4 linked regions of the Callithrix jacchus genome follow. The protein of the gene in region 2 purifies or fractionates together with the protein of the main gene of each other region. This does not show direct contact. Links are inferred from orthologs where the notes say so. Each region holds a gene or a part of one and is shown on either strand. Other genes may lie near its edges. The genes, in order: EED, PHF1, EZH2 and RBBP7.

What was found.
Region 1: the proteins of PHF1 (region 2) and EED purify together in Homo sapiens (affinity purification with mass spectrometry; 8 studies listed by BioGRID and IntAct, with this or other methods). This does not show direct contact. The link is inferred for Callithrix jacchus from reciprocal best matches to the Homo sapiens genes PHF1 and EED.
Region 3: the proteins of PHF1 (region 2) and EZH2 purify together in Homo sapiens (affinity purification with mass spectrometry; 15 studies listed by BioGRID and IntAct, with this or other methods). This does not show direct contact. The link is inferred for Callithrix jacchus from reciprocal best matches to the Homo sapiens genes PHF1 and EZH2.
Region 4: the proteins of PHF1 (region 2) and RBBP7 purify together in Homo sapiens (affinity purification with mass spectrometry; 7 studies listed by BioGRID and IntAct, with this or other methods). This does not show direct contact. The link is inferred for Callithrix jacchus from reciprocal best matches to the Homo sapiens genes PHF1 and RBBP7.

The regions. Positions count from the first base shown.
Region 1 is NC_133511.1:54,031,945-54,039,811, forward strand, and holds part of EED (polycomb protein EED), read right to left. Parts: intron 5,184-7,867; coding exon 5,118-5,183; intron 4,056-5,117; coding exon 3,930-4,055; intron 2,957-3,929; coding exon 2,875-2,956; intron 1-2,874. UniProt on the Homo sapiens protein: Polycomb group (PcG) protein. Component of the PRC2/EED-EZH2 complex, which methylates 'Lys-9' and 'Lys-27' of histone H3, leading to transcriptional repression of the affected target gene.
Region 2 is NC_133505.1:41,641,219-41,649,617, forward strand, and holds the start of PHF1 (PHD finger protein 1), read left to right. Parts: upstream 1-3,748; 5' UTR 3,749-4,281; intron 4,282-5,329; 5' UTR 5,330-5,345; coding exon 5,346-5,504; intron 5,505-5,589; coding exon 5,590-5,671; intron 5,672-5,778; coding exon 5,779-5,874; intron 5,875-6,274; coding exon 6,275-6,375; intron 6,376-6,487; coding exon 6,488-6,636; intron 6,637-6,820; coding exon 6,821-6,916; intron 6,917-7,114; coding exon 7,115-7,183; intron 7,184-7,315; coding exon 7,316-7,439; intron 7,440-7,547; coding exon 7,548-7,615; intron 7,616-7,792; coding exon 7,793-7,897; intron 7,898-8,021; coding exon 8,022-8,211; intron 8,212-8,301; coding exon 8,302-8,396; intron 8,397-8,399. Other genes in the region: kinesin-like protein KIFC1, read left to right, coding at 2,737-2,781; uncharacterized protein LOC128931737, read right to left, coding at 2,534-2,558, 3,267-3,748. UniProt on the Homo sapiens protein: Polycomb group (PcG) that specifically binds histone H3 trimethylated at 'Lys-36' (H3K36me3) and recruits the PRC2 complex. Involved in DNA damage response and is recruited at double-strand breaks (DSBs).
Region 3 is NC_133512.1:98,886,865-98,894,731, reverse strand, and holds part of EZH2 (histone-lysine N-methyltransferase EZH2), read right to left. Parts: intron 6,130-7,867; coding exon 6,013-6,129; intron 3,098-6,012; coding exon 2,977-3,097; intron 2,143-2,976; coding exon 2,002-2,142; intron 1-2,001. UniProt on the Homo sapiens protein: Polycomb group (PcG) protein. Catalytic subunit of the PRC2/EED-EZH2 complex, which methylates 'Lys-9' (H3K9me) and 'Lys-27' (H3K27me) of histone H3, leading to transcriptional repression of the affected target gene.
Region 4 is NC_133524.1:17,120,826-17,128,692, forward strand, and holds part of RBBP7 (histone-binding protein RBBP7), read right to left. Parts: intron 7,333-7,867; coding exon 7,188-7,332; intron 2,158-7,187; coding exon 2,012-2,157; intron 1-2,011. UniProt on the Homo sapiens protein: Core histone-binding subunit that may target chromatin remodeling factors, histone acetyltransferases and histone deacetylases to their histone substrates in a manner that is regulated by nucleosomal DNA.

The sequences.
Region 1 (7,867 bases), on a different chromosome or scaffold from region 2:
ATCATGCACAATTTTATAGAATGATAGTCCTTCTTCAAAAATTATACAGCTATAATGTGAGCAACATTATATTAAACATTAATAAAGAATGTACAGCAGACCAGGTGCAGTAGCTCACACCTGTAATCCCTGCATTCTGTGAGGCCAAGAATTTGAGACCAGGTTAGGCAACGTAACGAAACCATTATCTCTACAAAAATTTTTTAAGTATTAGTCAGGCTGCTGGGCGCAGTGGCTCACGCCTGTAATCCCAGCATTTTGGGAGGCCGAGACGGCCAGATCACAAGGTCAGGAGTTCAAGACCAGCCTGACCAACATGGTAAAACCCATCTCTTGAAAAAAAAAAAAAAAAATTAGCCAGGCATGGTGATGTGCACACGTAGTCCCAGCTACTCACAAGGCTGAGGTGGGAATATTGCTTGAGGCCAGGAAGTCAAGGCTGCAATGAGCTGTGATTACACCACTCTACTATAGCCTGGTTGACAGAGTGAGATCCTGTCTCTAAAACGGTATTTAAAAAAAAAAAAAGTATGTAAAGACATGTCTTCGGACCCTGCTCGCTGCGCCAAAAAAAAAAAAAAAAAAAAAAGACATGTCATGTAAGCTTGAAATATAACAATGTTCATTCTGTCTATAAATATTAATACATCACATAACACCAAGAGGTAGTAATACATGTAAAAATTAGTGCTGTAAAAATGATTCCTGATTGATTTCAATTTTATACAAGTTTTTGTATGGACATGTTGTATCTCCTGGAATACATATGTACACCCCCACCCACACACCCCTAGGGGATATATATATATATATATATATATATATATATATATACATATACATACATATATATATGCAAACACACTTAGGATTGGTGACTCCAACATTCCGAGGAACTGCCAGATTGTTTTTCAAAGTAGTTACATTTTACATTCCCACCAGCAGTGTCTAAGAGGACTCTGCTGATTCCTTCCTGTGCCAATCAATACTTGTTATTATCTAAGGTTTTTATTATAGCCACCCTAAGTAGATGTGAAGTGGTATCTCATTTTGGTTTTGATTTGTATTTCCTTAATGATTAATATGTTAAACATCTTTTCATGTGCTCAGTGGCCATCTGTGTATATACTCTGAAGAAATGCCATTCAGAACTTTTGGCCATTTTTAAATCGTTGAGCAGTAAAAATTCTTGATACAAGTCCCTTATTAGCTGGGAATCATGGCTCATGCCTATAATCCGAGCATTTTAGGAGGCCAAGTCAGGAGGACTGCTTAAGGCCAGGAGTTGACCGGTCTGGATAACACAGCAAGACTTCACCTCTACAAAAACATCTTTTAAAAAGTTAGCCAGGCGTGGCCAGGCACGGTGGCTCATGCCTATAATCCCAGCACTTTGGGAGCCTGAGGCAGCTGGATCACCTGAGATCAGGAGTTTGAGACCAGCTCTGGCCAACATGGCAAAATCCCATCTCTGTTAAAACCAGAAAAAATTAGCCAGGCATGGTGGTGGGCACCATGCTCAGGAGGCTAAGGCAGGAGAATCACTTGAACCCAGGAGGCAAAAGCTGCAGTTAGCGGAGATCAAGCCATTGCACTCCAGCCTAGGTGACAAAGCGAGACTCTGTCTCAAAAAAAAAGAAAGAAAGAAAGAAAAAACATTGTGATATTTAGAACAAGTGAGGCACTATGGCCTATACACTTGTACAGAAATATCTGAGACCAAATTAGTGTTATTAAGAGACAAGAAACAGTAATCAGCTCTTCCTAGAGATAGTGATTTCCAAAGTTAAGCTTTGGTAGTTATAAAAAAATGACACTGAAACTTTTACATAAGACAAACTTGCACATAAGAGTTTTAATTTATGGACATCATTTAATCTGAGTAGACTGCAGGGGAGATTACAGGTTTGACAAGCCTAAGAAAATAACAATCTTGTAAGTAGAAATGGAAAGAGAAAGGCAATCAAAAACAATGTGAAAAATCAGATCTTCCTAATTCATTTCAGACAGCTCAGAAATTAGATAATATCTAAACCCACAATAAATTTATAATGTCTATGAAGGCATAAGGAACAATGCAGTGCTTTCCCTTCATGGGAAATACTTCAAGTAACTTATCCTGGAGAACTTAGCATTTTTAAGAAATTCTATAGGGAATCCCTTATAAAACAATAGCTTTTTTTAAAAATAAAAAAGCAATATGAATTTTTCTATGTAGTATTTATTATTACATAATTGGACAGAATGATCTGGATATGCTAACATAGCCTGGGATTTTCACACTAAAATTTATTGTTATAAAATTATTTTTTAATTTGGCTTTTTATCCCCTTAGAATACTATCTGTCCACACACTGGGGCCTAATTGCAGGGTGGAGGGTGGGAGGAGAAAGAGAATCAGGAAAAATAACTAATAGATACTAGACTGGAAATAAAACAGGACTTGTTAACCTAAGTAACAGAAAGGCTCTCTAAAAGAAAAGATGTTTATATGGAAATAAAGCACTTCAATGAGAATGCACATGCCAAAGTAAATTGCATGTGTTTTCAGAAAGGTAAGGTTTTTAAAAGAAAAAAATGAGAAGGATTACATAATTGTTTTGAAGTAAGATTCGCCTCAAAATCAGTAGCAAGGGTAATGCCAATCTGAGGATGAATAGTCACTTACTGGCAGTATTTTCTATGTAAGGTTGTGATGGCCTTTGTGCAAGGTTGCGGTTCTTGTGTTTTTTTGTGAGTTTATATTATCAGACATACATGCATGTGAACTCTCTTTTCATGGCTTTTCCTGTTTGTCAGGGTTTTCTTGACATTAGTGACTCCATCCTAATTCTGACAACTTGCACAGACTAAAGAAACATTTGCTTCTCTTACCTTTACTTACTGACAGGAGAAGATTTGGATCTCTTGGGTGGAATTTCAGCTCATTGATAGCATTTCCATGGCCAACATAGTGCTACAATAAATTTAAAACATTTCAAGTTTCATATCTCGAAATCAGTAAATGCTTTTTCATAAATCTTTAGAGAATGTAAAAATAGTTTCACTTAAAGTGGTGGTTCTGAACCTTGGCTGCATATTAAAATCAGCCAAAAAACTTGGTGAAAAGAGAAAAAAAAAAAAGCCCAGGCACAGTGTGTGGCTCGTGTCTTTAATCCAAGCACTTTGGAAAGCTAAGGCACAATCACTTGAGGCCAGGAGTTCAAGACCAGCCAGGGCAATATAGCAAGACCCTATCTTCACATATGCACACAAAAATTTAAAATTGGCCCCAGCTACTTGAGAGGCTGAGGCAGGAGGATTACTTGAGCCCAGGAGACATGGGCTGCAGTGAGCTGTAATCATGCCACTATACTCCAACCTGGGCAAAAGAGTGAGAGAGACTGTCTCAAAAAAAAAAAAAAAAGCAGAAAAAAAAGATGCTCAAAACCCCACCTACAGATATTCTAATCGGATTAGCAGAGGCCCTCGGATCCTCACATGATTATGATGTGTCCCCAGGGTTAAAAATAGCTGATTAAAGTTGATTTGAAAAATTTATCTTCTTATCAACTTGCTAGACTTCACCTTTAAGTTTGTGACAAGGTCCCTTTGACAAGACCCCTGGAGTTTGGATGTCTTGGAAAACTGATTCACTCTTATTGTTCATTTAGAGCCTCTCAAAGCAAAGCATGAAAAGGGTGAAGGAGGGAAATTCTAAAAAGAAAACACTATAAATATTAACATTTTCCCACTTATTCCTTAATTTACATTACTCGAATGTGACAAAGGTCTCAAAAGATTCATCTAAAGTAAGTACAAATCAAATCAGAAATGTTACATTCATATCATTGGTTTTAAATTTAACATTAAAAGTTTTTTTAAAGGTTTTACTTTTTGAAGTTTTACTTCAAAAGAAGTAGAACTACAACTTAACCAGAAAAACCCACCTTTATACACTGCATTGTTATAGGATTAATTATCCTAATTATGCCTCTAGATCCAGCTACAGCCAGTAGAGGATGGCTTGTATTGCTATCATAGGTCCATGCACAAGTGTAGAAGTTTTCATCAGCCTATGAAATTCCACAGTTAAGAAATATAATTTGTTTATGAAAAAGAAAAATGTCAATAGTTATAATAGAAACTTACACAGAACTGCTAATGTTTTTGACATAAAAGTTCTCGATTTTCCTTCTACAACCAAATTTATACAATGGGGATTTGAGGTCTAAAATCCATAACAAATTATCAAACAAAATTACAGTTTCTCCATTCAATTGTTTACTCTTTAACTGTTCGTACAACTACTAAACTCTGTAGTTGCATTACCGAAATAATTGCAGACAATACACAAATGAATGGGCATGGTTGTGTTCCAACAAAACTTTACTAAAAACAGGTGTCCAGCCTGCAAGCTGCAGTTTGTTAACCTCTGCTCTATTCCAATACTATACATATCTAAATAAAAACAATTCAGTTTTCCACCTTTTTCTTTGTGAGATACTCCCAATACAACACAGGTCAAATTTCAGTATCTTTCAGAGAAGACTGAAGGTCCCTGCCTTGTCTTGTTCGCTAAGTTTTTCAAAGGGATCTGGAAAAAACATCTTATTACTTAGCTTTTACTGCTCTAACTCAGACTTTTCAAATTTTTCCGTTTCTTTATGACCCTGTTTTGCAATATTTTATTTCTGAAACTACACTTTTTTTTCTTTCTAGGCTTTGTTGATCAAATACTTGGAATGACTGCCAGTCACAACCCAAGTTCATCATTATAACCACAATTAAATGATATATTCTAGGTGAGGTTGAAGAAAAAGGAGGTTTTAACCAGTCTGCTAACATTTTCTATTACTAGATTTCTATCTACCTCTCTAGACATCTGCATCCAACCAGCACATCCATCCCACAATGTATTTTTTTTCTTTTTTTTTGCCTAGCTGAGTTGACACATACCACAATGGATTTCTAAGGGTCAGGAAAACTAGATACTAGGATTCTCTTGGGTGATAGTGAAGAAATAGGTTAAGAAAGAACAAAAACTTTAGCAAACTGATTAATTTATAAAAGTTTTGGTGTACTTATTGAAAATAAATTCCTTTAACCAAAGATATTAAAAACCCAGGAAAGGATACATCAGCATCCACGTAAGATTGCAACAACCGGATTTCTCCTTGTGAATGACATTCATACAAGGTAACCTAATGAAAATAAAAATATAGTAAATTTCATCTCAAGTACAGAAACATACTCTCTCCAACTTTTAAACATGTTTTAATCACAATCACATCGTAAATATAATCTAGAAACTATTGGCTTAAATTAGCTCCTGTAAGCTTAAGGAAACCATCATAAAGCTGAATGTTTTATATAATACAGAGTATATTAAATATTGTAGTAATAATGGTTTTGATTTCCAATCTTTTAAACATATTCATCCATTTAATTGCACCAACTCTTCAAAGTGAATAAAGTTAAAAACCTCAAAGTAATTGTGACTTATCATCTTTCAATTGTAGTTAAAAAGGCCTTGGAGGCCAGGCACAGTGGGTCACTTAATGCCAGCACTTTGGGAGGCTGAGACAGGTGAACTGCTTGAGCCCAGGAGTTTGAGACCAGCCTAGACAACATGGCAAAACCCCATCCCTATTAAAAAATAAAAGTTTGGGAGGCCGAGGCAGGCGGATCACGAGGTCAGGAGATCAAGACCATCCTGGCCAACATGGCGAAATCGCATCTCTACTAAAATACAAAAAATTAGCTGGGTGCAGTGGTGTGAGCCTGTAATGCCAGCTACTCAGGAGACTGAAGCAGAAGAATCGCTTGAACACGGGAGGTGGAGATTGCAGTGAGCTGAGATTGCGCCACCACACTCCAGCCTAGTGACACATGGAGACTTTATCTCAATAAAATAAAATAAAAATTAAGGCTGGGCGCAATGGCTCTTGCCTGTAATCCCAGCACTTTAGGAGGTCAGAAAAGGCGGATCATGAGACCAGGAGATCGAGACCATCCTGGCTAACACAGTGAAATCCTGTCTCTACTAAAAACACAAAACGTTAGCCAGGGGACAGACGCAGTGGCTCACGCCTGTAATCCCAGAATTTGGGAGGCCGAGGCAGGCGGTTCAAGAGGTCAAGAGACCGAGACCATCCTGGCCAACATGGTGAAACCCCATCTCTACTAAAACTATAAAATTAGCCAGGTGTGGTGGCACGCACCTGTGGTCCCAGCTACTCGGGAAGCTGAGGCAGAAGAATCACTCAAACCCAGGAGGCGGAGGTTGCAGTGAGCCGAGATAGCGCCACTGCACTCCAGCCTGGCGACAGAGCAAGACTCCATCTCAAAAAAAAAAAAAAATTAGCCAGGCATGGTAGCACACGCCTGTAGTCCTGGGTACTCGGGAGGCTAGGACAGGGAAATCGCTTGAACCTAGGAGGCAGAGATTGCAACACTGCACTCTAGCCTGGGCGACAGAGCAAGAGTCTGTCTCAAAACATAAAAAAATAAAATTAAAGCAAGTCTTTGGATAGTTTTAGAGCATCTACATATTAGTTACATTAATATTAAAAAGTCTACAATTTGCCTAATGAATTACTTTCTCATGGGTACAGATAATCACGTATTAACTTTCTCATGTATGATAGCCCTTTTCATTTGTTGTATACTCTAAAATTAAAACTATACATAAACCATATAAAATTTTGTAATACTAAACTTTTATAAATTTTTTTCTTTTCTTTTTTTTTTTTGAGACGGAGTTTCACTCTTGTTGCCCAGGCTGGAATCCAATGGCACTATCTCGGCTCACTGCAACCTCTGTCTCCATGGTTCAAGTGATTCTCCTGCCTCAGCCTCCAGAGTAGCAGAGATTACAGGCATCCACTACCACGCCAGGCTAATTTTTATATTTTTAGTAGAGATGGGGTATCCATGTTGGTCAGACTGGTCTGAAACACCTGACCTCAGGTGATTCACCCACCTCAACCTTCCAAAGTGCTGGGATACAGGCATGAGCCACTGTGTCCAACCCCGTTTTTCTTATATCTTATAGTCAGTCACCTTAGCAAAAACCTATTCATATTTTATAACAGTATTTAAGATCTCTGAAGATCCTGTATATCATCACAATTTATTAATTCATAATCTCCTCTATGTTAATGTTCCAAAAAAAATTATTTATATGGCTGCTAAGTTGGTTGTATCTTATGTGATAACTGTTTTCTTTTTCTTTCTTCCTTTTAAAGAAATCCTAACAGCAGACTTTTTAATAATTCAATAAACTATATGACACCCCTTTATGTCACTTTAAATGAAAATAGGAATTCTTTTTATTAGAAAACTTGAAACACTGCAGTAACCATACTGGAGCACAAACTATACCAATTATAATACTATCAGAGCTAAATATTGTCTTAGGTTTACAGTGGTGCCCTAAAAGTGGATTCAAATTTAATTAATGGGCTACATTTCCAACTAAGAAAAAAATAACCTCAACCTTTTCTTAAAGCCACATCATTTTTCCTCTGAATTGCTGTTTCCAAAGAATTTAGAAACTAAACAACTATAAGCAGACTCCATTATCTTAAAACCTACATTTGTCTAAACACCAAAAAAAAAGGGAGGAAAAAAAGCTATTATTTCACGTTATCAACTTCAGTGGTAACTTACACATACTGAGAGTTTCAATGACTTGACTCTGCCAAATAGTAAAAGCCCTACAGCCTTACATGTCATTATAAAATTTCCTTAAAAGGCTGGACATAGTGGCTCACGACTGCAACCCCAGCTCTTTGGGAGGCCAAGGCAGGTGGATTCCTTGAGCCCAGGAGTTCAGTATCAGCATGGGCAACATGGTGAAACCCCATCTCTACAGAAAATAAGC
Region 2 (8,399 bases):
TACCTGTGGGTGGTTGTGGGCTTCTCCATTTGAACCCATCTGTCTTCTGGGCCAGGGAGCACATTGTCCAAAAAGGTTTTAGATTCTCAGGCATCTGGGGCACTACTCACCTGCTTCCATTTTTAATTATTAGCTTTTAAGTTTTTAAAAAACAGATGACTAACTAACCTAAGAAAGCGGATTGAAAAAAAAGGTGACTAAAAGTCTAAACTGGTTGGGCACAGTAGCTCATGCCTGTAATCCCAACACTTTGTGAGGCTGAGGCAGGAGGATTGCTTGAGCCCAGGAGTTTCAGATCAGCCTGGGCAATATAGTGAGACTCTTGTTTCTTTTTCTTTTTTTTTTTTGAGACAGAGTTTCGCTCTTGTTACCCAGGCTGGAGGGCAATGGCGCGATCTCGGCTTTCTTGTTTCTACAAAAAGTATGAAAATTAGCTGGGTGTAGTGGCTCACACCTGTAGTTCCAGCTACTCAGGAGGCTGAGATGGGAGGATCACCTGAGCCTGGGAGGTGGAGGCTGCAGTGAGCCGTGTTCCTACCACGGCACTTCAGCCTGGGTGACAGAGCAAAACCTTGTCTCAAAAAAAAAAAAAAGAACACAAAAATCCCCAAGATTCCTCCCCATCACCACACAGTGATCATTATTTTTAGGTCTGCCTAGGACTCCACTATGTAGTTGCACCAAAATTTATCCACCAGTTCCCTCTACTGGACACTTGGATTGTTTCCACCCTTTATTAGTCACAAACAAGACCATGTTGACTAACTGTATGTACATCATTTTGTATTTTTTCAGTTACATGTAACCATCTAGGGAAATAGACATTGAAATGAGATTACTGGATCAAAGACTTAGAATTTTTTCAGACTATTTCAAATAGTGCGAATTCAGACACCAAACCCCATGAGGGTCAGCCAGTGACCCTTCTACTATTGTTAAGCAAGTCAGGAAGTTTCCTTATTGTCTGCCTCTATGGGTAATTTTTTTCTCTGGCTAACCCTCCTCCTGAGCTTTGATAGGCTCTGGCTTTATTTGAGGTCTGATCAGGTCTGTACTTCTGCAGTGCTTGGGCTTCCTCCCAATCAGCGTTGATTGTTGTTTTTTGTTTTGTTTTGTTTTGTTTTGTTTTGTTTTGCGGGGGCAGGGAAGGGGAAGGGAGGGACGGGGCTCGGGGGAGCCCGACTCCTGCCTGGAGTTTGGAGGCGTCCCAGCTGCGGAAGGGATCCCAGCTGCGAAGGGGATCGGCACCCTCAGCACAGACCCAGCAGAGAGGGGAGGGAGGGAGGGACGGAGGGGCGGGTACGGGGAAGGGAGTAGAGGAAGGAAAAAAAATGATCAGCATTGATTGTTGCCGTGGAGTAGCCAGCACCTGTACCCTGATCTGCTGTTCTACTTTGATGAGGGTTTCCCTATCTCGTAAGTTCAATTTTAGAGGATGTTGATGTTTGTTCTAACTTTTTATTAGTTATTATACCAGTGTAACATCCAACATGAACTTTAATATCCTCTAATAACCAGTTTATGTTAAATTTCACCCAACTGTCTCAGAAGTGTCTTTTATACATAATAGGTTTATTCAAATCAGGGTCCAGGCAAGGGCCACCCAGTTGGTTCAAATGTCTCAAGTTCCTTTTAATCTGTAACAGCCCTATCCCATGCTGCCACTATTATGTCATTTGTTTGTTGAAGGTCATTTGTCCTGTAGAATACACTTGTCTGGATTGTGGCTGGTTGCTTCCTCTTTCCCCCATGCTTTGACTTATTTATCATATTTGGGTGTTGTCAGCCTGATCCATCCACTTAAAAGCTCCCTATTGACCTTTCACCTAGTGATTTTATCCAGGAGTAACCATACCTAGATTCGTTATTTCATTAAGGGCTTTTTAAATGATGATTCAGTCTTCTCAGTTCTGCGTTGGTTAGTCACTATTCTTTTATGAAGAAATTTGCTTTGCCATCTACTTGGTTTCTGTGAAACTCAGTTCATAGAGGAAAAACAAGATAAATGCTGGATTATTTATTGATTTTCAGTATTGAGTTGATACCCTAACAGCTTCCAAAGGTGACCAATGAAGGTCTATCTGAGCGTTACTTTTTTTTTTTTTTTTAGACAGGGTTTTGGTCTGTTGCCCAGGCTGGAATTCAGTGGCTCAATCAAAGTTCATTGTAGCCTCCAAAGGTGTTGGGATTACAGGCGTGAGCCACCGAGCCCGACCACAGTCATTCTTTCTGATGCTCAAATTGCCCCATATTTGGCCATTAGGAACCTCCTTCAGGTTGGCGCCAGTGTCCTTTAGACACAACCCTAGTAGTCTTTTTTCAGATTCAACTTGTACATTTCCTCCTCCAGACTTCAACTGATCCACTTTTCTAAGGAGTGCTAATTCCTAAATGGGTGCTCGTTGCTATTACTATTTTATCTCAGTTTAAGGATTTTACAGTGGAAGAGGTTGGAGGTCTCTAGTAGAGAGTATTGCTGGAAATGAAAGCCTCCTCTCTCCGCTCCTGTATTTTGTTGTGGGGCTTCCATCTCTCAGGCCTTTTCACCTCCTCCAAACCTAGTGTGGAAAGGAGAACCAACCATAACTGAAATCAGCCTGAACCAGCCTTTGGAGGCCTTATTTCAGTATTCCTGAGGGCAGCCCCTAGCATTGGAGGATGGGAGGAGATCTTAAGAAAACTGTTCTTTTGGTTATTTTGCAAACTTTTTTATCCTGTCTCACCCCCTACACCCAGGTGAACCAGTGTGTTATTGGTACTGCCCAAGCCAACAGGAAGTGAAGACGGATCCAGATCTTGTGTGTTGGGGGTGTATGTGTTGGGTGAGGGGTGGGAGGGTTACTGAAGGGTGCTTTATTGGGTGGAGGGCGCCATGTCCCAGGGCTATCAAATAAAGAATACTTTTTTTTTTTTTAAATAAAGGTTTTCATTAGCATTTGCCCAAGGAGGCAGATACTTTCATATCTGTAAAGGTGGGACCTGTGATCTGTCCCTTCTGCAAAGTGTTTGTGTGGGAGGCGGGAGCGGGGGTTGAGGGCTTGGGCTTTTCTCCCTTCACCTGTCACCAGTTCTGGACCCTGGTCTGGATCATCTTCCCCTCTGCTAATGCCCCGTTCCCTGTCCGTCACATCGGGAGGTGTGCCCTCTAGCTATCCACGCCCCTTCCAACGTAACTAGTTACAGATTAAGTTTCACCCTTCCGCCCGCCACCTCATCCCCAGGGAGGGAACGGTCCTTTGGTGGGTGTCCGCAAATAGGGACCGGACCTCGGAGTCCCGAGGTGGGGCCGGCGCGCGCTCCCGAACTGCTGGCTCTTTCCTCCCGCCCTTTCCTTGCCTTTCTGTTCGAACCGCTGGGGCTCTGCCCGCCCGCTGCCCATTGGCTGGCTCTCGGTGGCGTCACCGCCTCGGGTACTAGCCCCCTTAGTCTTTGCGCCCGCCCTGGAAGTACGGGGCGGGACGTGCCCGGGAAGCGGCGCGCACGACCGCCGACTTCCTCGCGCCAACGGTCGACGGCCGCCGCCCGTGAAGGAGGGGCTCAGTCCTCCCAGGTGCCGCGCGCAGGAGGGGACACGCGTGCGCAAAAGGGCGGCGGGTGGGGCGCGACTAGCCACGGGGAGGGCGGGGCTGGGGCTAACAGCGAGTGGAGGGCGGGGCGCGCGAGGGAGGGCGTGGTGGGGGCAACGGGAAGGGTGAATGGAGGGCGGGGCCGCGAACTGGGGGCGGGGGGCGGGACTCGGCGTGACCATGGGGGGTGGGGCAGCTAACGGATGTGGCACGGGGCGGGGGACCAGTCCGGAGGCGGGCTGCCGCGAGGGGGGATTCCCTCCTGCCCCAAGGGCGAATCTCAGGTCTGAGGAAGGGGCTGAGGGGATTCCCTCTCCCACTGGGTCCGACTCTTCGCTCCCCAAACCGCGGAGGGCCAGCCTCTTGCTCGGCGCCCTCCAGGCCTGTTGGAGGTGAGGGAGGTGGGGTGAGGTGGTGCCCGGCCCCCCTCCGGCTCCTCCTTCCCCCCAGTCCTCCCCTCCCACCACCCTCCCCCCCAACCGGTCCGTCCCTCCCCTCCTTCCCCCCCGCCGCCTCCTCCTCCTGCCGCTGCCGCTGCTTTGGCTGCTGCGTCATACGCCCCAGAGCCGCCGGGACGGAGGGGCTGGGCCTGGGGACCCCCCGGCCTCCGCCTGCACGCCCCCCGACGCCCGGACGTGCCCTCTCCGCGCGGGGGACTCGCCTAGGTCTACTACGTCTGCCCCTGCCCAGCTCCCGGCGGCCCCAGCTGTCACCGGTAAGGAGGCGCCGGTGGGGGGCAGGGAGCCGGGGGTCGGCGCGGGGCGCGGGCGGGAGAGCCTCGTCGTCCTGGCCGCGGGGTCCTGGTTGGGCCGACGCAAGTCCCTTCTCGGACTTGCAGTCCTGGGGAGTAGAGACCGGGACTCGGACACGCCCCCCTCCCGGGGCACTCAGAGAAGTTGTCTAACCCGAGGGCAGGGAGCCCCGAATTTGAGGGTGACCTGACATAACCTGGCACCAGGATGATTGTTCTTAATGAGACACGCAGGCCTGGGGAGACAGCCGTTTCTGCCCTGGAAAACATCTCTAGAAAAGGTCCCAAAATACATTTCTGGGCAACAGGGCACCCTAATTATGGTACCTCTAAACTGAGGGGTAGCCTTTGCTTCTGCAAACGTAATTTCCCCTAAAATTTAAAGGCCAGGATATAATATCCCAGGAGAGCTCTGGAAGCTGTGAAACTAGAGAACTAGGTTTGGGTCGGGGGGAGGGCAGTTACCGAGAGTAGAGCCAGTCACTAGAGTTGGAAGAGTACTCAAGAAGCTGGTGATGGGTGCCCAGTGTTTTCCTATCCAGGTGTGTCAGGATTGGGAGTTGGGGGCACAGATCCTTCATTTTTGACGGCAAAATAGGCAAATAAAATGGGGAAGCTGGCTGGGCGCGGTGGCTCATGCCTTTAATCCCAGCACTTCGGAAGGCCGAGGTGGGTGGATCACAAGGTCAGGAATTCGAGACCAGCCTGGCCAATGTGGTGAAACCCCATGTCTACTAAAAATACAAAAATTAGCCGGGTGTGGTAGTGTGCACTTGTAATCCCACCTGCTTGGGAGTCTGAGGCAGGAGAATTGCTTGAACTGAGGTAGAGGTTGCAGTGAGTAGAGATCACACCATTGCACTCCTGGGCGACAGAGCAAGACTCCATTTCACACCACTGCACGCCTGGTGACAGAGCAAGACTCCATCTCAGGGAAAAAAAAAAAAAAAAAAAGAAAATGGGGAAGTTTTCTCAGCATTCATAACCTCTTCCCCATTTCTTTTCCGGCTAGCCCCCCCCAGGATGCAATGGCGCAGCCCCCCCGGCTGAGCCGTTCTGGTGCCTCCTCACTTTGGGACCCAGCTTCCCCTGCTCCCACCTCTGGCCCCAGACCTCGACTTTGGGAGGGTCAAGATGTGCTGGCCAGATGGACTGATGGGCTGCTATACTTGGGCACCATCAAAAAGGTAAGACCTTCTACCTCTGACCTTCTTCCTATTCCCCTTATCTAAGTCTGGTTCCCATTTCATTCTCTATGCTCACCCATTGCAGGTGGACAGTGCTAGGGAGGTGTGTCTGGTCCAGTTTGAGGATGATTCACAGTTTCTGGTTCTATGGAAAGACATTAGCCCTGGTAAGACTCTAGAGACCTGAGATTGCACATCACATGGAAAACAAACCTGGCTTATAGGAGAAGAAAGAGACTTAAGGGCAGGCCCCTGACACTGTGTTCTCTCATAGCTGCCCTCCCTGGGGAGGAACTCCTCTGTTGTGTCTGTCGCTCTGAGACTGTGGTCCCTGGGAACCGGCTGGTCAGCTGTGAGAAGTGTCGCCATGGTAAGAGGGCAGGTCACCTGAATGGTCCAGCTTGCTCTTCCCTCCAGCACAGTCCCTATGTCACCTGTCCTGGCCTTAGTCCCCAAGCCACTGTTCTGGCCAGGCTGCTTAGCCCTTAGTCCTCATCCCCTGTAAGCCCAGGGAAAAGCAGCCATAGAAAGGGTTGGTGTAACCTTTGCAGGTAGAGGATGATTTAAATGCATCCTTTCCTAACCGTATGACCTTGAGCAAGTCCCTAAATCTCTGGGAGCCTCAGTTCCTTGACTTGTAAAATAAGGAAAATGCACTCCCTCATCAAGACCATGGTCAAGGATTAAATGAGATGAGTAAAGACTATTCCAGTCCCAATACCCAGCACACACAGGTATGCAATAAGTGGTCTATTATTATCATTCTTCAGCTTATCACCAGGACTGCCATGTTCCCAGGGCTCCAGCCCCTGGAGAAGGAGAGGGCACATCCTGGGTGTGCCGCCAATGTGTCTTTGCAATCGCCACCAAGGTAAAGGCACCTCCCTGTTACCCCTTCCTGTGGGAGCCTCCCATCCACAGCCTTTCACAAGCCTTTCCTCTCCCCACCCCGCTGAGGCCACCCACCTGTTCTATCTCTGCAGAGGGGCGGTGCCCTGAAGAAGGGCCCCTATGCCCGGGCCATGCTGGGTATGAAGCTCTCTCTGCCATATGGACTGAAGGGGCTGGACTGGGATGCTGGACATCTGAGCAATCGACAGCAGAGCTACTGTTACTGTGGTGGCCCTGGGGAGTGAGTAATGAGGGGGAGCAGACTGTGCAATGAATGATGGCGGGGTGGACCCCAGGAAATGAAGGAGAAAGAACAGTGAGGGTAGCACTCAGGGGGTTGTGAAGTAAGTGATAAGCAGGTTTGGGACAGATATAGGGATGGTTGCAGTGAGTCGAGAGGCCAGAAGTCCTCTGTTTCCCCTTAGGTGGAACCTGAAAATGCTGCAGTGCCGGAGCTGCCTGCAGTGGTTCCATGAGGCCTGCACCCAGTGTCTGAGCAAGCCCCTCCTCTATGGGGACAGGTGAGACTCTCCAGGAGCCAATGATGCTCTGTCTTTGTGCTCCACCCTCAGTTCCCCCACGCCCTTCTCCACTCCAATCTCTTCCCAACCTCTGCAGGGTTACCTCACCTGTTCACCCCATCCTTGCTTGTGAGTCCTCCAGGAGACGGCATAGTTTTTCTGTGTAAGGTGTGTGTTCTCCCTCTTGTCCACGTCCAGGTTCTATGAATTTGAATGCTGTGTGTGTCGCGGGGGCCCTGAGAAAGTCCGGAGACTACAGCTTCGCTGGTGAGCTGGATTGGTCATGACCTCAGTGTAACTCTGCACCCCCAGCATTTCACTCTGTATGCCCCAACCTCCCACCTCAGGACTCCTCTGGCTCTTAAAATGCCTCTGTGGTCTTGAAAACTCTTTCTCCAGGGTGGATGTGGCCCATCTTGTCCTTTATCACCTCAGCGTTTGCTGTAAGAAGAAATACTTTGATTTTGACCGTGAGATCCTCCCCTTCACTTCTGAAAATTGGGACAGTTTGCTCCTGGGGGAGGTAAGGGGTAGTGACTTTTGGGAGTTGGGATGGGACAGGAAGATGTATTGGAAAGGGGAAGAGAAGAAATCACTGCTCCCCTGGCCCCATTTTCTTTCCTTCTCCCAGCTTTCAGATACCCCCAAAGGAGAACGTTCTTCCAAGCTCCTCTCTGCTCTCAACAGCCACAAGGACCGGTGAGTTGGAGGGAAGAGGAGGCAAGGGTGAGGCTTGGAAAGAGATGGAGATTGGAAGCCTGGAATGGGAGCCGTTTGTAACCCATCTGGAAGACTGTGACTGAAAAGGATTTAGGAATGGTGTAAGGGGGGACCTTTTTTACAGCAATGACTGTATCATTTATCTTCTTGCCCCAGTTTCATTTCAGGGAGAGAGATTAAGAAGAGGAAATGTTTGTTTGGTCTTCATGCTCGGATGCCTCCCCCTGTGGAGCCCCCTACTGGAGATGGAGTATTCACCAGGTCACTGGTCCAGGGGGGATGGGGGAAATTCTCAGGGTGTTAGTCTGGGGAATTTATGTATAGAGATGGGGAGGTCTTTGGGGTGTCCGGGAGGGGGCTGGGGGGATAAGGAGGCCTCTTACAGCTTCCCTTCAGGGCAGGGCCCTGGGGGAGGGGTCTCACGTCCCCTGGGGAAGCGCCGGAGGCCGGAGCCAGAGCCCCTGAGGAGGAGGCAGAAGGGGAAAGTGGAGGAGCTGGGGCCACCCTCAGCAGTGCGCAATCAGCCCGAGCCCCGGGAGCAGAGGGAGCGGGCTCATCTGCAGAGGGCACTGCAGGTACAGGGGAAGGGGGAACCCTATGGAGCAAATGGTGGGGTGTGGGAAGGAGTCAAGAATTATCTCTCAGTCCTTTGCCCCCTCTTCTAGGCCTCAGTGTCTCCGCCACCCCCCAGCCCTAACCAGAGTTACCAGGGCAGCAGCGGCTACAACTTCCGGCCCACAGATGCCCGCTGCCTGCCCAGGTC
Region 3 (7,867 bases), on a different chromosome or scaffold from region 2:
CCAACTATGTCTCTATAAAAAGCTGATTTTCTAAGAAATCATCAACTTTGTATTTTGCTTACTTCCCGTATTTTACATGTGTCTGTGGAATACCAGTCAGTCAAAAACAAAATTCAAACTCAAATATGAAAAGCTTTAAGAGCACTGTCAAGCAGAAAACCTAAGTTCTACTCCCAGCTCTGCTACTAACTGATTTTGTAACCAAGAGTGATCACTTTACCTCTTGAGTCTGTTAACTCATCTGTAAAATGAAGGAACTGACTCAACTAGATGTTCACTAAGGTGCCTTTTTAAATTCTCTTTCTGAAATATGCTTCTTAGAAATTGCTATTTCCAGCCGGGCACAGTCTCTCGTGCCTGTAATCTCAGGACTTTGGGAGACCAAGGCAGGTGGATCACAAGGTCAGAAGTTTGAGACCAGCCTGACCAACATGGTAAAACTCCATCCCTACTAAAAACACAAAAAATTAGCCAGGCATGGTGGTGGACGCCTGTAATCCCAGCTACTTGGAATAGGTTCACGCAGGAGAATTACTTGAACCCAGGAGGCAGACTGTAATGAGCGGGTATCTCACCATTGCACTCCAGCCTGAGCAACAGAGCAAGAGTCCATCTCCAAAAAAAAAATTGCTATTTCCCAGCCGGACCCGGTGGCTCATGCCTATAATCCCAGCACTTTGGGAGGCCAAGGTGGGCGGATCATGAAATCAAGAGATAGAGCCCATCCTGGCCAACATGGTAAAACCCCGTCTCTACTAAAAATACAAAAATTAGCTGGGCATGGTGGCGTGCGCCTGTAGTCCCAGCTACTTGAGAGGCTGAGGCAGGACAATCACTTGAATCAGGGAGGCGGAGAGGCTGCAGTGAGCTGAGATCACGCCACTGCACTCCAGCCTGGCAACAGAGCAAGACTCTGTATCAAAAAAAAAAACAAAACTGCTATTTCCCTCACCAAATTCTTCTTTGTTGCCTTAACATAAGCTTTGCCAAGTAGAGAACAGCAACTATTGGCTCTGTTTCTTCCCAGTAGTGTAATCTTGTAAGTTACTTAACCTCTCTAAATCTATCCCCTCAACTATAAAATGGATATAATAAAAACATCCATCTCATGAAGCCATCATGAGGATTAAGTGAGCTGGTGCATATGAACCTGATTAGTACACAACTTGTACATAGTGAATATCATAATAAAACAATGCCCAGTGAAGCACACAAAAAATTATGTTTTTCCCTAGCCAAAGGAAACAAAGGTACTAAACTGAAAATAATGTTGCAAGTAATACGCTTTTTTTCTTTTTCATTTGCTTTTTTTGTTTTGAGACAGAGTTTCGTTCTGTCAGGCTGGAGTGCAGTGGCGCAGTCTCAGCTCACTGCAACCTCTGCCTCCTGGGTTCAAGCGATTCTCCTGCCTCAGCCTCCCGAGTAGCTGGGACTACAGGTGAGCACCACCACACCCAGCTAATTTTTGTGTTTTTAGTAGAGACGGGGTTTCACTCTGCTGGCCAGGATGGTCTTGATCTCTTGACCTTGTCGTGATACACCCACCTCGGCCTCCCAAAGTGCTAGGATTACAGGTGTGGGCCACCACACCCAGCCTTCTTTTTCTTTTTTAAGGCAGGGTCTCACTCTATTGCCCAGCCAGATTGTACAGTGGCACAATCACAGCTCAGTGCAGCCTATACCTCCTGGGTTCAAGCAATCTCCCTGCCTCATTTTTTCGTTTTTTAGTAGAGATGGGTGGGGGTCTTGCTATGTTGCCCAGGCTGGTCTTGAACTCCTGGGTTCAAGCAATCTGCCTACCCTGGTCTCCCAAAATGCTAGGATTACAATGTTAGCCACCCTGACCAGCCATAATATGCAATTTTAATTATACTGCTATCAATGTGATATTTAACAAAGAAAGAAAAAAAAGAGAAAGAAACTAAGCCCTCCTTCTACTCTTTCTACTGTTTTCAAAAGAAAGCTGTATTGGCTACACAGAATCCTAATCATCAGGCATACCATCTCGGTGATCTTCCAGATCTTTCTGCTTTTCTTCTCTATCTTCAGGATCATCTCCATCATCATCATCATCATCATCATTATATTGACCAAGGGCATTCACCAACTCCACAAAAATTTCATCATTTATAAACCCACATTCTGAAATTCATCAAATGTCAGAATCACACAGGAGAAGTAGTAATGACAAAAGTTTATGGATCCTTTTTCTACTTTGGACATAACAGGCATAGCCCAGTCACTAGCACTAAAACATTATTATTGACATGAGGGGAGGAAAATGTAAGATTTTCAAGACTGGCCTTAGACAAAGTTAGAAAGCAGAATTATCTTTAATATCTGCTATTTTCTGTTGAATAGCCCCTCCCCAAAAGTTTCTACTATAAAACCACATCCTCTAGGTACTGATCGTGGCTTTAGCCTCTTACCATTCTTTAACTGATCACTTCAGAGCCCGCTTTCTATTGATAATGACAATGGATGATGATATTACAAATATTACCCTTTCAGACACTTTAACAGGGCCTCCTGGACATTAAAAAAAAAAAACTGAACCCATAACTCTAATGATTGAATTTGAAGTACTGTAGTTCCTAGAGGACAGGTATTTTTGAGCAGTAGGGGTGCTAGAGCCCCCATATGCCACATAAGCAGAGCCCCAATCCTAACTAACTTTACTACTAAAGAATCTTAAAATCTACATATGCTCAATTTCTATTTAATTTACATGTAATTGCGATTATAATTTATGTCATAACCAACCATGTGTAATTATCAGGTGGCCAACCATGAGCCTCCTAACTAATTTTCCCAAAAATAGGGAAAATGCTAAAAATTTTAGGCCTGGGCCCAGATCAGTCCCTTATAGTTCAGTGCAAAACTTAATTTTAACACTAAAATTTTTCTCAAGCCCTATGCTTAATAAACAAAAGTATCCATGTTAGCCCCTTTTCCCAAGAGGAGCATATGGCTCACCTCTATCCCCATGTACTTTTCCATCATAATTTTTTATTAGTTCTTCAATGAAAGTACCATCCTGGTCTAACACTTCATCTCCCATATAAGGAATGTTATGTAAAACAGTTTCATCTTCCACCTAAAAGGAAAAAGAAATATTTAAAAAGCAGCTTTATTCTAACTATCAAATGTGAAATAACTAAAATACAACCTTTTTTCATATGAAGATGTCTTTACTCAGTTCTCCAGATTTAAAATACTAGTCAGAGAGCAAACTCTAAAAGCTACCAAAGAATAATATCAGAGAATAAAAGCAAAGAATAAGCATATCTGCGAAAACTGCTGAAAGAAAAAGAATTTAATTCAAGAAAAAATACTGTACTTTGTCATCAATCATTAAAACTTACTATAATTTTACATACCTCTAAGAAAGAAAAATATGCTCTACATTACGAAAAGACATAACCAGTTCATTTTCTTGTTTCATTTTTTATTGAGATGAGCGTCTCAGTATCCTGCCCAGGCTGGTCCCAAAGTGCTGGGATTACAGGTATCTGGCACCATAAGCCACCATGCCCAGCCATCATCAGTTTTAAGGCACTCTCTTATTTCATACGTTAATACAAGGAGGGGAGTTGTCTTAATGAAATATAGTATATCAAGATCAACTGTAAAAACCCATACCAAAAAACTATCATAAGGCTCCTACATTCCACTTGATGATCCAGTTATTAAGATATCTGTTAATTCATAATAGTTCAAGGTAAAAAGAAAAAAAAAATTTAAGATAACCAAGATAATAAAATTCTAGGGACATAAGAGTATTGATGGTCCAATCAAGTTTATGCCCAAAGGATATGTGCTTATATGTAAAATAAGAACATTCTATAAAAACATATTTCAATATTTAGATGAATGAGATTAGTATCAAAGTTGACAGTGCTAGTAAAGATGATAGATGAGTTTATATCAAGCTTTGGAAGACAAGAGAGAAGAAAGAAGAGCCAATCAAAAGTTAAGAGAATGGAGTACTTAAGATTTCAAGGTAAAGAAAGCTGACATTCATGGGAGGAAGAGAATTTTCAATGAAGAATAAAAATGACAGTAATTATAGATAAAGACTGCACAGTTCTGAAGTACATGCTTAAAGAGACTAATTCCAAGTGAAGACAAGTCTAAGTCTTAAGAGGACTTTGAAAAAGATATTTGCTAAAAATGGAATTTTAGAAAGATAGTTCTGATAAGCAGAATGAACTGGCTGAGACTGACTGGGAGTACACAGCAGCTCTTAAAAGGGTGAGATGGTATAGGCTTGGCCCTCCACTGTGACCATGGCCCACAGGGAATAACACGCTGGGAAAGCCCACACAAACTAGTAGCAAGCAGGAAGTGTGGACAAAATCTCAAATAATCCCTAGGTAACAAATTTAGGACAACTGGAGAGTTCATAAAGATAACAGGACCTTAGACAAGGAAAAGAACAATTGGGATAAATGGGGCATTATAATTAAAATGTAGATTTTAATATATTCATATATTCAAATTCAAGATGATGTACACACTAGAGGCCTGTTTTCATCTCATTTCACTTGCACTAATCCTTTTTTTTTTTTTTGAGACGAAGTTTCATTCTTGTTGCCCAGGATGGAGCTCAATGGCACGATTTCAGTTCACTGTAACCTCCACCTCCCAGGTTCAAGCAATTCTCCTGCCTCAGCCTCCTGAGTAGCTGGGATTAAAGGCATGTGCCACCACACCCGGCTAATTTTTTGTATTTTTAGTAGAGATTGGGTTTCACCATGTTGGCCAGGCTGGTTTCCAACACCTGACCTCAGGTGATCCACTCACCTTGGCCTCCCAAAGTGCTAGGATTACAGCACTAATCTCATTTAAACTAGGAGCTGATTTCTTTATATCTAAGCCAAAATTAAGTGACACTTAGCTATTTTGTCTTCCCAATTATATCCACATAATCCTGTTCTCCAAAACATATCCTAGTTATAATAAAAATTGTGTGCCTAATCTGCTTCGGTCAGCAAAATCAGACAGAGTCTGGTTCTGTCACCCACGATGGGCCAGCAAAATCCATGGATGATTCACAAATTATATTTATTGATAAATGTAAATACTATATTCTAGAATTTCAGTCTGTGAAAACATAAAACTTCCCTTAAGGTCTTGCAATGTAATTCTCAAAGTACATTCAAATTTACACAATTATGGAAGAGTAATTGAAGTGGATACTCTACTGTACAAAGTATAAAACTTACTAAAAATATTGGAAATATCTATTTTTTTAATCTAATAAGCAATTTCCTAAAGCAGGTCCACCAAGGACTTCCGTCAACATTTTATTAGCCTTCCCACTTTATATATCAATTAAGCAATGAAACAATGTATTTTTTATTTAGCAATACAAGTCAAGAACACATGCTTCGGTTTCTCTTTAGCATGTTATTACAAAAGCTACTGGGTCATAGTTAGCTATGGAAATATGTTTAAGTTTGTGTTTTATAAGCCCTATGTATATTATCACAATAAAATGCTACCTAAAATTATTTTAAATAGTTCTCAATTAACAAAAACTCAAAGACTGAGATTATAGGACACTGGCTTTTTTAAGGATAAGAACTATAAGCTTCATTACCTTTTTTTTTTTTCTGAGATAGGTCTGGCTGTCACCCAGGCTGGAGTGCAGTGACATAATATCAGCTCACTACAATCTCCGCCTCCCTGAAGCCATCCTTCCACCTCAGCCTCCTGAAGTGCTGGGATTATAGGCATGAGTCACAATGCCCAGCCCAACTTCTAAGTATTTGTAATCCTAGGTATGGTTACTGCTTAACATTTTTCCTTTGGAGAGTATAAAGAGTAATACTGCAAACGTCTTAAAAAGACTATATTAATCCATTTTTTAAATTACTTTTTATTATTATGTTAGCTTTTTAAAATTTATACTGTCTTGATTGAGTCACCTTGACAATAAAATTATCTATGCTTTTTTATTTCAAATAAGTTATTATCAAACAAGCAGAAGATGTCTTATTTACATACCATAAAATTCTGCTGTAGGGGAGACCAAGAATACATTATGGGTACTGAAGCAACTGCATTCAGAGTCTTTAATGGGATGACTTGTGTTGGAAAATCCAAGTCACTGGTCACCGAACACTAAAACAGAAAAAATAAAATTGACTCTTAAGAATAGAAGGACAACCTTAAGCTGTAGCCATCATATTGTAAAGAGATGCTGCCTACCTATTTAATTTTGAAAAAAAATGTCCTTACCTAGGACAGTTACGTTCATATAAACCAAATAGGATTCTCTTTTCTCTCTTTTACTTAAGGTGAAAAATTCTTCAAATTTTGTAAATTTTCAAAACCTCCAACCCTTCCCATACTTACCAATATCAGTAAGAATCAAAAACTGTACTTATGTGAGCTTCAGCAATCTGATTAACTGATCCATGCTTTCACTATACATTTCCTATCTCATCCTTCGTGTCTCTTACATTCCAACCACAAAGAGTAATATATATATATACACCAAATATGCCACTTCAATCTTACTTAACAAGAATAAGAAAACTTGTTAGGTTAATCTTCCTTATCTTTATCTTCCTTTTTAAAAATCCAAGTGTTAACTGCTGATATTATCAGATGATATATAAATATTAAGGGTAATGGGTTTGAGTTTCAAACACAACAAAGTAAATTCTAATCTATTCTGCAAAACTGTAATGTCTGAATTCGTAGTATTCGCTAATATGACTACTTTCTATGTGCTAGGCTATTTTAAACACATTACATGTCTTATATTTAATCCTCATAACACTGTAAGATGGGTTACTGTTCTTAGCCCCCATTTTACAGGTGAGAAAACTATGGTAATGAAAGGAAAAATAAGTTGCCCAAGGTTGCACATGGTTATAGGGCTAGAATTTAAAACCCCAAAGTCTGACTCTGAAGCCCCTGCTCTTACTACTCCTTATATTGCCATGATATCATATTTTTAAAATGTGTCATTGCACACAGTCCCTTGAAATACCATATTCCATACAATCTAAAATGATAGTGATTTCAAGGCACACCATTATCTTCTGTTTTACTAAGAAAAAAAATGTTGCCAACTAAACAAAGATATGTGTTCTTATCACAGTGATTCTAAGATGCATGTTAGTTTCAGATGTTAAAATGTCAAAAATTTTGCATCTTTGATTCTCTGAAGTATGGTGAAAATCTGTGCCCAAATAACCACAGCACTTTCCACCCTGTCAATGAATCCATGATTTCTTAAAGAGTACCACTGCCGAAGTGTAAGTCCTCCAGAGCCTTCTCCAAAATATCCTAGACATACATTCATAATTCACAATCAATGAAAATAGAGCAAAAAAGAAGTGTAATAAAATGAAACCAAAAAAATCATATATATATGTATATATATATATACACACATACATATTAAAGGTTTAAATTTTTTATTTAAAATGTCTTAAAAATAGCAGAGGTAGGTGTGGTGAAATTCAGAGTAGAAATCTGGCATACGGGCCACACCTGACCCTCAGCACTGGGTTGCATCAGGCCAGTGGGATAATCTTTCAATCATCACAGTCACTGCAGCACAAAACAATTCCTTCCTTAGTGGAAGTGAAGGTTTAAGGATAGAGTAGTTAGGAAGAACTGTGACAGTGATTCATCCATTAATTTGCTTTCTAAAAAGGCAAAGATAAAGATAATAATACTAATAAGGCTCATAACTCCAGTAACTAAGATGGTGTGAACAGGTTACTAACACTCCAGAACCTGCAATCTTTCCCCTTCCTGTTATTTAGCCTCTGATACAATCCTTCATCCATCCATCCAATAATCCAATTTAAAAAGCAGTTAACATTTATTGAGCACGTACTAT
Region 4 (7,867 bases), on a different chromosome or scaffold from region 2:
CAGGAGGTAGAGGTTGCAGTGAGCCAAGATTGCACCACTGCACTCCAGCCTGGGCGACACAGAAAGACTCTGCCTCAAAACAAACAAAAACAAGAAATCCTCAATATTTAAAGAAATAATGCATAAAATTGTTGGGGAATGAACTGTAAATTGTGGGAGTGGTAAACTGGGTAAATCACTTTGGAGAATAGTTTTCTATGAAGTTAACAATGAATACACCATACAACCTAGCAGTTTCACTACACTAGAAAATGTAATATTTTTGAGTCAGGATCTTGCTCTGTTGCTCAGGCTGGAGGGCAGTCGTGTGATCCTAGCTCACTACAGCTTCAAACTCCTGGGCTCAAGGGATCCTCCCCCTTCAGCCTCCCAAGTAGCTAGGACTACAGGCATGCACCATCACACATGGCTAAGTTTTAATTTAATTAATTAAAAAAATCTTTAATTTTTTTTAAAGATGGGGTTTCACCATGATGGTCAGGCTGGTCTTGAACTCCTGACCTCAGGTGATCCACCCACCTCCGCCTCCCAAAGTGCTAGGATTACAGGCATGAGCCACCGCGCCTGGCTTAATTTATTTTTTGATAGAGACAAAGTCTCACTGTGTGCCCTGGCTGGACTTAAACTCCTGGGCTCAAGCATTCGTCCTGACTCGGCCTCCCAAAGCGTTGGGATTACGGGCATGAGCCACCACATTTTATCTTCAATAAGAGAAAAACCCTAAAGCATGTATTATGAAGTGCTAATAGCATTAAGCCATCTGGGACTGTGAAGAAAGAGTTAACACAGCAGTCTGGTTGCTTAGCCCTGGACTCTGAGGAGCACTGGGACCCTTAGTGACCCTTGGCAAACTCCTGGGAACATGCACCTCAGAATGTTCTTTCTGTCACTGATGAACTGATGATTTTGTGGTGTGCACCTGGAGCAATGGACCATGTTGTACCAGTTTGTCAGGGTTGCTTTGTAGATATCAAGATTGATTATTGTTTTTATTACTGGGGTCCTCAAGTTTCAGTTGCCATGGCTGGTTGTCAGCAGGATGTGTCTATGCAACTAGGCCCCCAAGAAAGCCTCAGACCCTAAGACCCAAATAGGCTTCCCTGAGCAGAGATATTTCACACATGTCCCTGCAGTTTGCTGCCAGAGAAAAGCACATCCTGTGTGGCCTTGGACAAGACTTGTGCCAGACCTCCCTGAACTTGCCGATGCACATCTTTTTCCTGCTGCTTTTGTATTCTTTACTGTAATAAACTTTAGCCACAAGTATAATTTGCTCTTTTGAGTCCTGACAAAATCACCAAACTTGGGGTGGTCATGAGAATACCAAAACAGGAGAGTATGTTTGACTAAATCAAAAAAAGAAAAAAGCAGCCAAGAGATTCCTAAATTAACCATAGCACTACTGCCTCTCCCTCCAAACAAACAAAAAAAACCCCAGCATTAACCATTTGGTATCACTATTGTTTGATGTATATGTCGTCTCCTGATTTTTTCCCTGTGCACACACCAACACATATTACTTCTACCAAAGTGGAACCCGGTAATTACACATAACAGTTATTCACTTAATTTATCTTGGATACCTTCCTATACCAGTGCATACAGATTTTTCTCATTAAAAAAAATTTTTTTTTTAAATTTTTGGTAGAAATGAGGTCTATGTTGTCCAGACTGGGCTTGAACTCCTCAACTCAAGTAAACTTCCCACCTCAGCCTCCCAAAGTGCTGGGATTATAGGTGTGAGCTATGGCACCTGGCCTTTCTCATTAATTGCTGAGTAGTATTTCAAACATACCATGTGCTTAACCAACATCTGGGTTACTAGGTTGATCTTAATTTTTCAATTCTACAATTACGATTAAAATCCCTTATGTACATGTGGGTGAGTAATTCCGTAGGATAAAGTCCTAGAGTTAAATTACTGGGCCAAAAGCTAATAGTTTTAGTAGCACACGCTTTGAACGAGGCATATCCCCTTTGACATCAATATTGGAATATATAATATACCTACCACCCTTGTCACTGTCACAATGGGAAGCATCAAACTGTGCATCATCATTGGGAATATGTACTCGAGCAACCACCAGATGATTCTGCTCATCAGACGTGTGAGTCCCCAGCACTAGCCAATGAAGGGCATAATCTTTTCCTTCCGGTCTGTTTAGAAAAGAAAACAAGTCACACTAATCCTCTAAGAAATTTCCAGTTGCTAACAAATTCAGTCAAGTTCCCTCAAAATACATTCAAATTTCTTTAGCAAATATATACTTAGTATCAACTGTGTATCTTCTCCCTGTGTGGTTACCAACTTTACAATCACCACATATGCAAGTGTAAGAAAATAATATTCTAGCTACGACATGCAGAAGGCTTGCTTCTTTCCCCAAGAGCTATTCTCCTGTGCTTCAATTATCAATGTGAATACTGCCTTTTATAGAGCAGCACTCTGGGGAAGGTAGGCCCAACTCAGTAAACACAAACATCTACACAGGAGTCCACCAACAGTCCCCGTACTCATAAATCACCTAAAAAAATCTTCTTCCCACCTAAAGATATCTTATACAGTAGATGTTTCTTATTTCCCAATAAGAAATTCTACAAGGTAGTATGGACAGAAAGTGTTGAGTCAAAAAAACTTAGCTTAAGTCCCGGATCAAACTAAAATGCAATTGCTTCAAACACAACCTCCCTGGGGCCTGTTTCTTCACTGAAAAAAACAGGTTGTAAGTGCAAATGGTCTGATGTGAAACCCCTTATTTATGTTTATGAGACCTAAGTTTATGAAATGAACATTCTCAGTTTTACTGAGGTGTCTTTGTTACCTTGTTCTGTGGAAACTCACCTTGAGGCTGAAGAACTTGCCCAAACCTCTTGGCACCTTGGTCCAAGCAGTGATTTTTCACCAGTATCTATCAAAAAGGCTTTCCCATTTGTATTATCTAGAACACAATTTTCAACTGTGCTCCACGGTCCCATCTCAATGAAGAGGACTTAGACGGGCTCTAGGCCCCAACACAAGTTAGGCCATTTATCTGTTTAAAAATTTCAGTTGCACAAAGGATTCAATGGTTAAAAAAAAAAAAAAAAGACTGAATGTTACTTCTAGGCAAGTAATTTAGTAATAAGAAAATACAAGATGCAATTTTACCAAGATTTGGCTTACAGTAAAAAAAGTGTACGCGGCTGGGCACGGTGGCTCACGTCTGCAATCCCAGCACTTTTGGGAGGTCGAAGTAGGCGGATCATGAGGTCAGGAGTTCCAGACCAGCCTGACCAACACGGTGAAACCCCACCTCTACTAAAAATGCAAAAAAATTAGCCAGGCATGGTGGCATGCGCCTGTAATCCCCGCTGCTTGGGAGGCTGAGGCAGGGAAATTGCTTGAACCAGGGAGGTAGAGGTTGCTGTGAGCCACGATCGTGCCACTGCACTCCAGCCTGGGTGACACAGAGACTCTGTCTTAGAAAAAAAAAAAAAAGTGTGCACAGACAGATACACACACACACACACTCCCCCAAGAACAGAGTAAGGAAGCCATAACTAAGCAATAGCAACTTGTTTAAAAAAAAGACAGCCAGCTACGGTGGCTCATGCCTGTAATCCCAGCACTCTGGGAGGCTGAGGCGGGCGGATCACCTGAGGTCAGGAGTTTGTGACCAGCCTGGCCAACACAGTGAAACCCCTTCTCTACTAAAAATACAAAATTAGCCAGGCATGGTGGCACATGCCTGTAATCCCAGCTACTCAGGAGGCTGAGGCAGGAGAAACACCTGAACCAAGGAGACAGAGGTTGCAGTGAGTGGAGATTGCACCATTGCACTCCAGCCAGGGCAACAAGAGCAAAACTCCATCTCATTAAAAAACAAAAACAAAACAGAATTCTCTGGCACCCTTTAAAACAACAAGCATATCCAAGCATGCTGATAGGAAAATCTCCAATTTACACTTTTACTGACAAACTCAAGTGAAGAACTTGCTACCATAAAAAAAGATGAAGATACAGGTATACACTTCTACATGCTGGCAGGATGGATTAAGAAACTGAAAACAGTGACTGGGGAAAGGAAGTAGGGCAGTAAGGGATGTACAAAAGGATGTACTGCCTGAATTTGAAAAATTACAAAGCTTTTTAAGGTAGAGAATAAGTTAGTCTCAATATAGTTCAGGAATTATTCAACAAGAGATATGAAATACCTACCTAATTAAAAAAATTTCACAGAGCTACCTAAAAAAAACCTTTTAAAAGCCAAATCAACGCCTGTAATCCCAGCACTTTGGGAGGCCAAGGCAGACAGATCACGAGGTCAGGAGTTCAAAACCAACCTGACCAACATGGTGAAACGGTCTCTACTAAAAATAAAAAAATTAGGCAGGCGTGGTGGTGCATGCCTGTAATCCCAGCTACTCAGGAGGCTGAGGCAGGAGAATTGCTTGAACCTGGGAGGCTGAGGCTGCAATGAGCAGAGATGGTGCCATTGCACTCCAGCCTGAGTGACGGAACTAAACTCTGTCTCCAAAAAAAAAAAAAAAAGCCAAATCAAAATCAGTTATTTGGACAATTACTTAACTCAATTGAAGGACAATAGCTCAGAAAGTCCAAGTAATTGTTATGAAGCATGTTGTAAGTTGGCAGAAGAAGGGCATATGGGGTGGAGTAGGGTCTAGTTCCTCAGAGTCAGGCACTGAGAATAGCCAACATTTTTATTGTGCTATATGGTGGTAAAACACAGTCTCTTTATACCCCAAACTGAACCTTGCAAAGCTCCACACAGCAATCCTCAACATCCAAGAATGCAGGCTGCTTGGCATTTTCTTACATTCTCTAAGCCACTGCACTTCCCACAACCCAATCCTACAACATCTTTGTATATAAAGAACACCATAATACACATGAAATAATTTAATTAAAGCATTTTCTGTTACATTCCTAAGTGTTACATATTATAGGTAACAAAAAAAAAAAAAAAAAAAAAACTTAAGCAAGCAGCTTTCATTGAAATCCAAATGAAGAAACACAGAGCTATTTCAATCCTGACAAATTATTTCTGAACAGGAAGGGGTGGGAGAATCAGCATCAGTCACCACTTGCTGTGTACTCATGCTGCATCAGGCACTTTAACATGCATGATCTTATTTAATTCCCTCAAATTGAGGTAGTCAGTACCACCACCATCTCCATTTACAGCCCAGACAACTAGTTCATGAAGCTAAGTAGAAGCAGGAGCATGATTCCAACCCAGGTCTCTAAGTTTAAAGCCCCTACTCTATTATGTTACAGTGGGTCAAAAATATCCCCAAAATTTAGTTAATAAATTTTAAATCTGCTTAACAGACAAAAACAGGCAAATGCACACGATGCTCCAAACCAGAACTTGAATACCCCTGAGTATATGATGCTTAATCTACTGTTAAATCTGTTCAAAGGTGGCTGTAAACGTCAATGCTTCCAAGTCTTCACCATTTAGTTCTCTACTCTTCCCACATCCGCATATTTACATTTAGATTTTTGGGAGGCCCAGTGGAAGTCCCTATCTGTATGGAAATCAATGTTTGCGTGCAGAACCTAGCCATTGTAAGAGCAGTTTTATACAAAATTAGCTCATTATGATTATTATTATTTTAGAGACGGAGTCTTGCTCTGTCGCCCAGGCTGGAGTGCAGTAGTGTGATCTCAGCTCACTGCAACCCCTGCCTCCCGGGTTCAAGCAATTCTCCTGCCTCAGCCTCCCTGTAGCCGGGACTACAGGCACACACCACCACGCCTGGCCCTCTTTTTTTTGTATTTTAGTAGAGACGGGATTTCAGCACATTGCCCAGGCTGGTTTTGAACTCCTGAACTCAGGCAATCCACCTGCCTCAGCCTACCAGTGATAGGGTAACAGGTGTGAGCCACTGCGTCCGGCCAAAAATTATTTTTATAACTTGTTACAAAATCCTCTTTTTAGGTTAGAGTTTAATTTAATATTCTTTAACTTATATGTCCACAACACCCAATTTTAATACACTTTTTTTTTGTTTCTTTGGGAGACAGGGTCTCTCGCTCTCACTACAGCCTTGAACTCCTGGGCTCAAGCTAACCTTCCAAAGCGCTAGGATTACAGGAGTAAGCCACTGTGCCTGGCTCCGTATTTAATACACTTTAAAAGTACATGGTCAAGTTCCTACTAGAAAAGTGCAAGTGAATGAGAAATCTAATGCAGGGACCAGCTGTGTGATCCTGGGATAGCACTTAAACGCTCAGTCCCAGTTCCCTTATTAGTAAAACAAAGATGATGAAAAGTACCTAGAGCACAGTACTATTATGAGAATTACAATAGGATGTAGACTCTTCAGATGTGCCAGGCCCTGTTCTGAGTGCTCAATAAATGCCAGCAATTATTACCAGAGAAACTGTAGATCTAACAGAAAAGAATACTCTTATGAAGACTAACAGCAATCTCAAAGTGGATTCCATATTAGAAGCTGATTAACACCTTTTTTTTTCAAATTGCACTTTAGGTTCTTGGGTATATGCGCAGATCATGCAGGATTGTTGCATAGGTACATACATGGCAAGGTGGTTTGCTGCCTCCGTCCCTTGTCACCGATATCTGGCATTTCTCCCCATGTTATCCCTCCCCATCACCTCCCCCGCAACAGACCCCAGTGTGTGGTGCTCCCCTCCCCGTGTTCGTCATTGTTCAATACCCGCCTATGAGTGAAAACATGCGGCGATAATACCCATTCTTTGGTCAATTGTTGACAAGGTCTTTTCCCCTTTACCAATTAAAATGTATTTATCTTGGGTGCCTCTTACGTGTTCACTTTGTAAAAATTTATCAAGCCATACACTTAACAATGTGTGAACTTTTCTGTATATGTTCTATTTTTCAATGAAGTTTTAAAGACATGTAGTAGTTTGGGCCCAGAGAGATGCTGCTCTACATTCAAGCCCAGGCAATGTCAAATACATTCAGTATTTCCTCCAAACACTATTAATCTCACAACAGATTCTTTCTCCCCTTTTAACGCCACAGTATATGCCAGAAATCATCCCACAAATCACGTAAGTTTTGAAAATAAAAACCACCTGCTACCTCATGCAAGGGCTGATTACATACTTATGTTCTATGTATAAAACGTCAAAACTAGGAAATTCAGAACTACAGTTAAATTTAAGCAAAATAAAAGTTGCCAGAAACCCTTACTTAGTCACTTCAGGAAGCCACTGAACTGTAAGACTGGGCCACTGAAGAGCATGGGTCATAACCAGGTCATATAGAAACGGTGTATTCTTCTTCCAGATTTTATATTCTTCATTGATGACACGCTCCTCCACAGTATCTTCAAACACTGAAATTTGGAGAAAGCCCACACGATTAAGTGCCTGAGATGGACTGAAGTCAGAAATTGGAGGTCATCTCAAGATGGCCACACCTCATGTACGCTTTCTTTTTACCTCTAATTTGGACACGGACAACTAACCGCTCTTCCAGGAGGCGGAGAGAATACTAACACAACCAGGAAGCGTATTTTTTTTAGTTGAGATCAATACCTCCTGCGTATACCATGTTGGGTAGTCAATTACGCGGACATGGAAATTGTTTACCCTACTACAGCTGTTCGCACCTGTTCTAAGATGACGACTTATATGTACAGGGGCTGCGCGACCCACTGGGTGAGACAAATGTACATGTAGCAGAAGCCCACAGGCCCAGTCCCTTCATTCCCCATCAGGGGAGGCCCCAGGTCCTGACGGCCGCCATAGGCCGGAGGGCTCCAGCAACCCCCGGACAAGGGCCGCGACCCCGAGGCGATCGACGCGCGCGCCTGTAAAGAGCCGCGGTGTTCGCTTCCAGGCAGCGGCGACCGCCTCCGCCACGGGGCC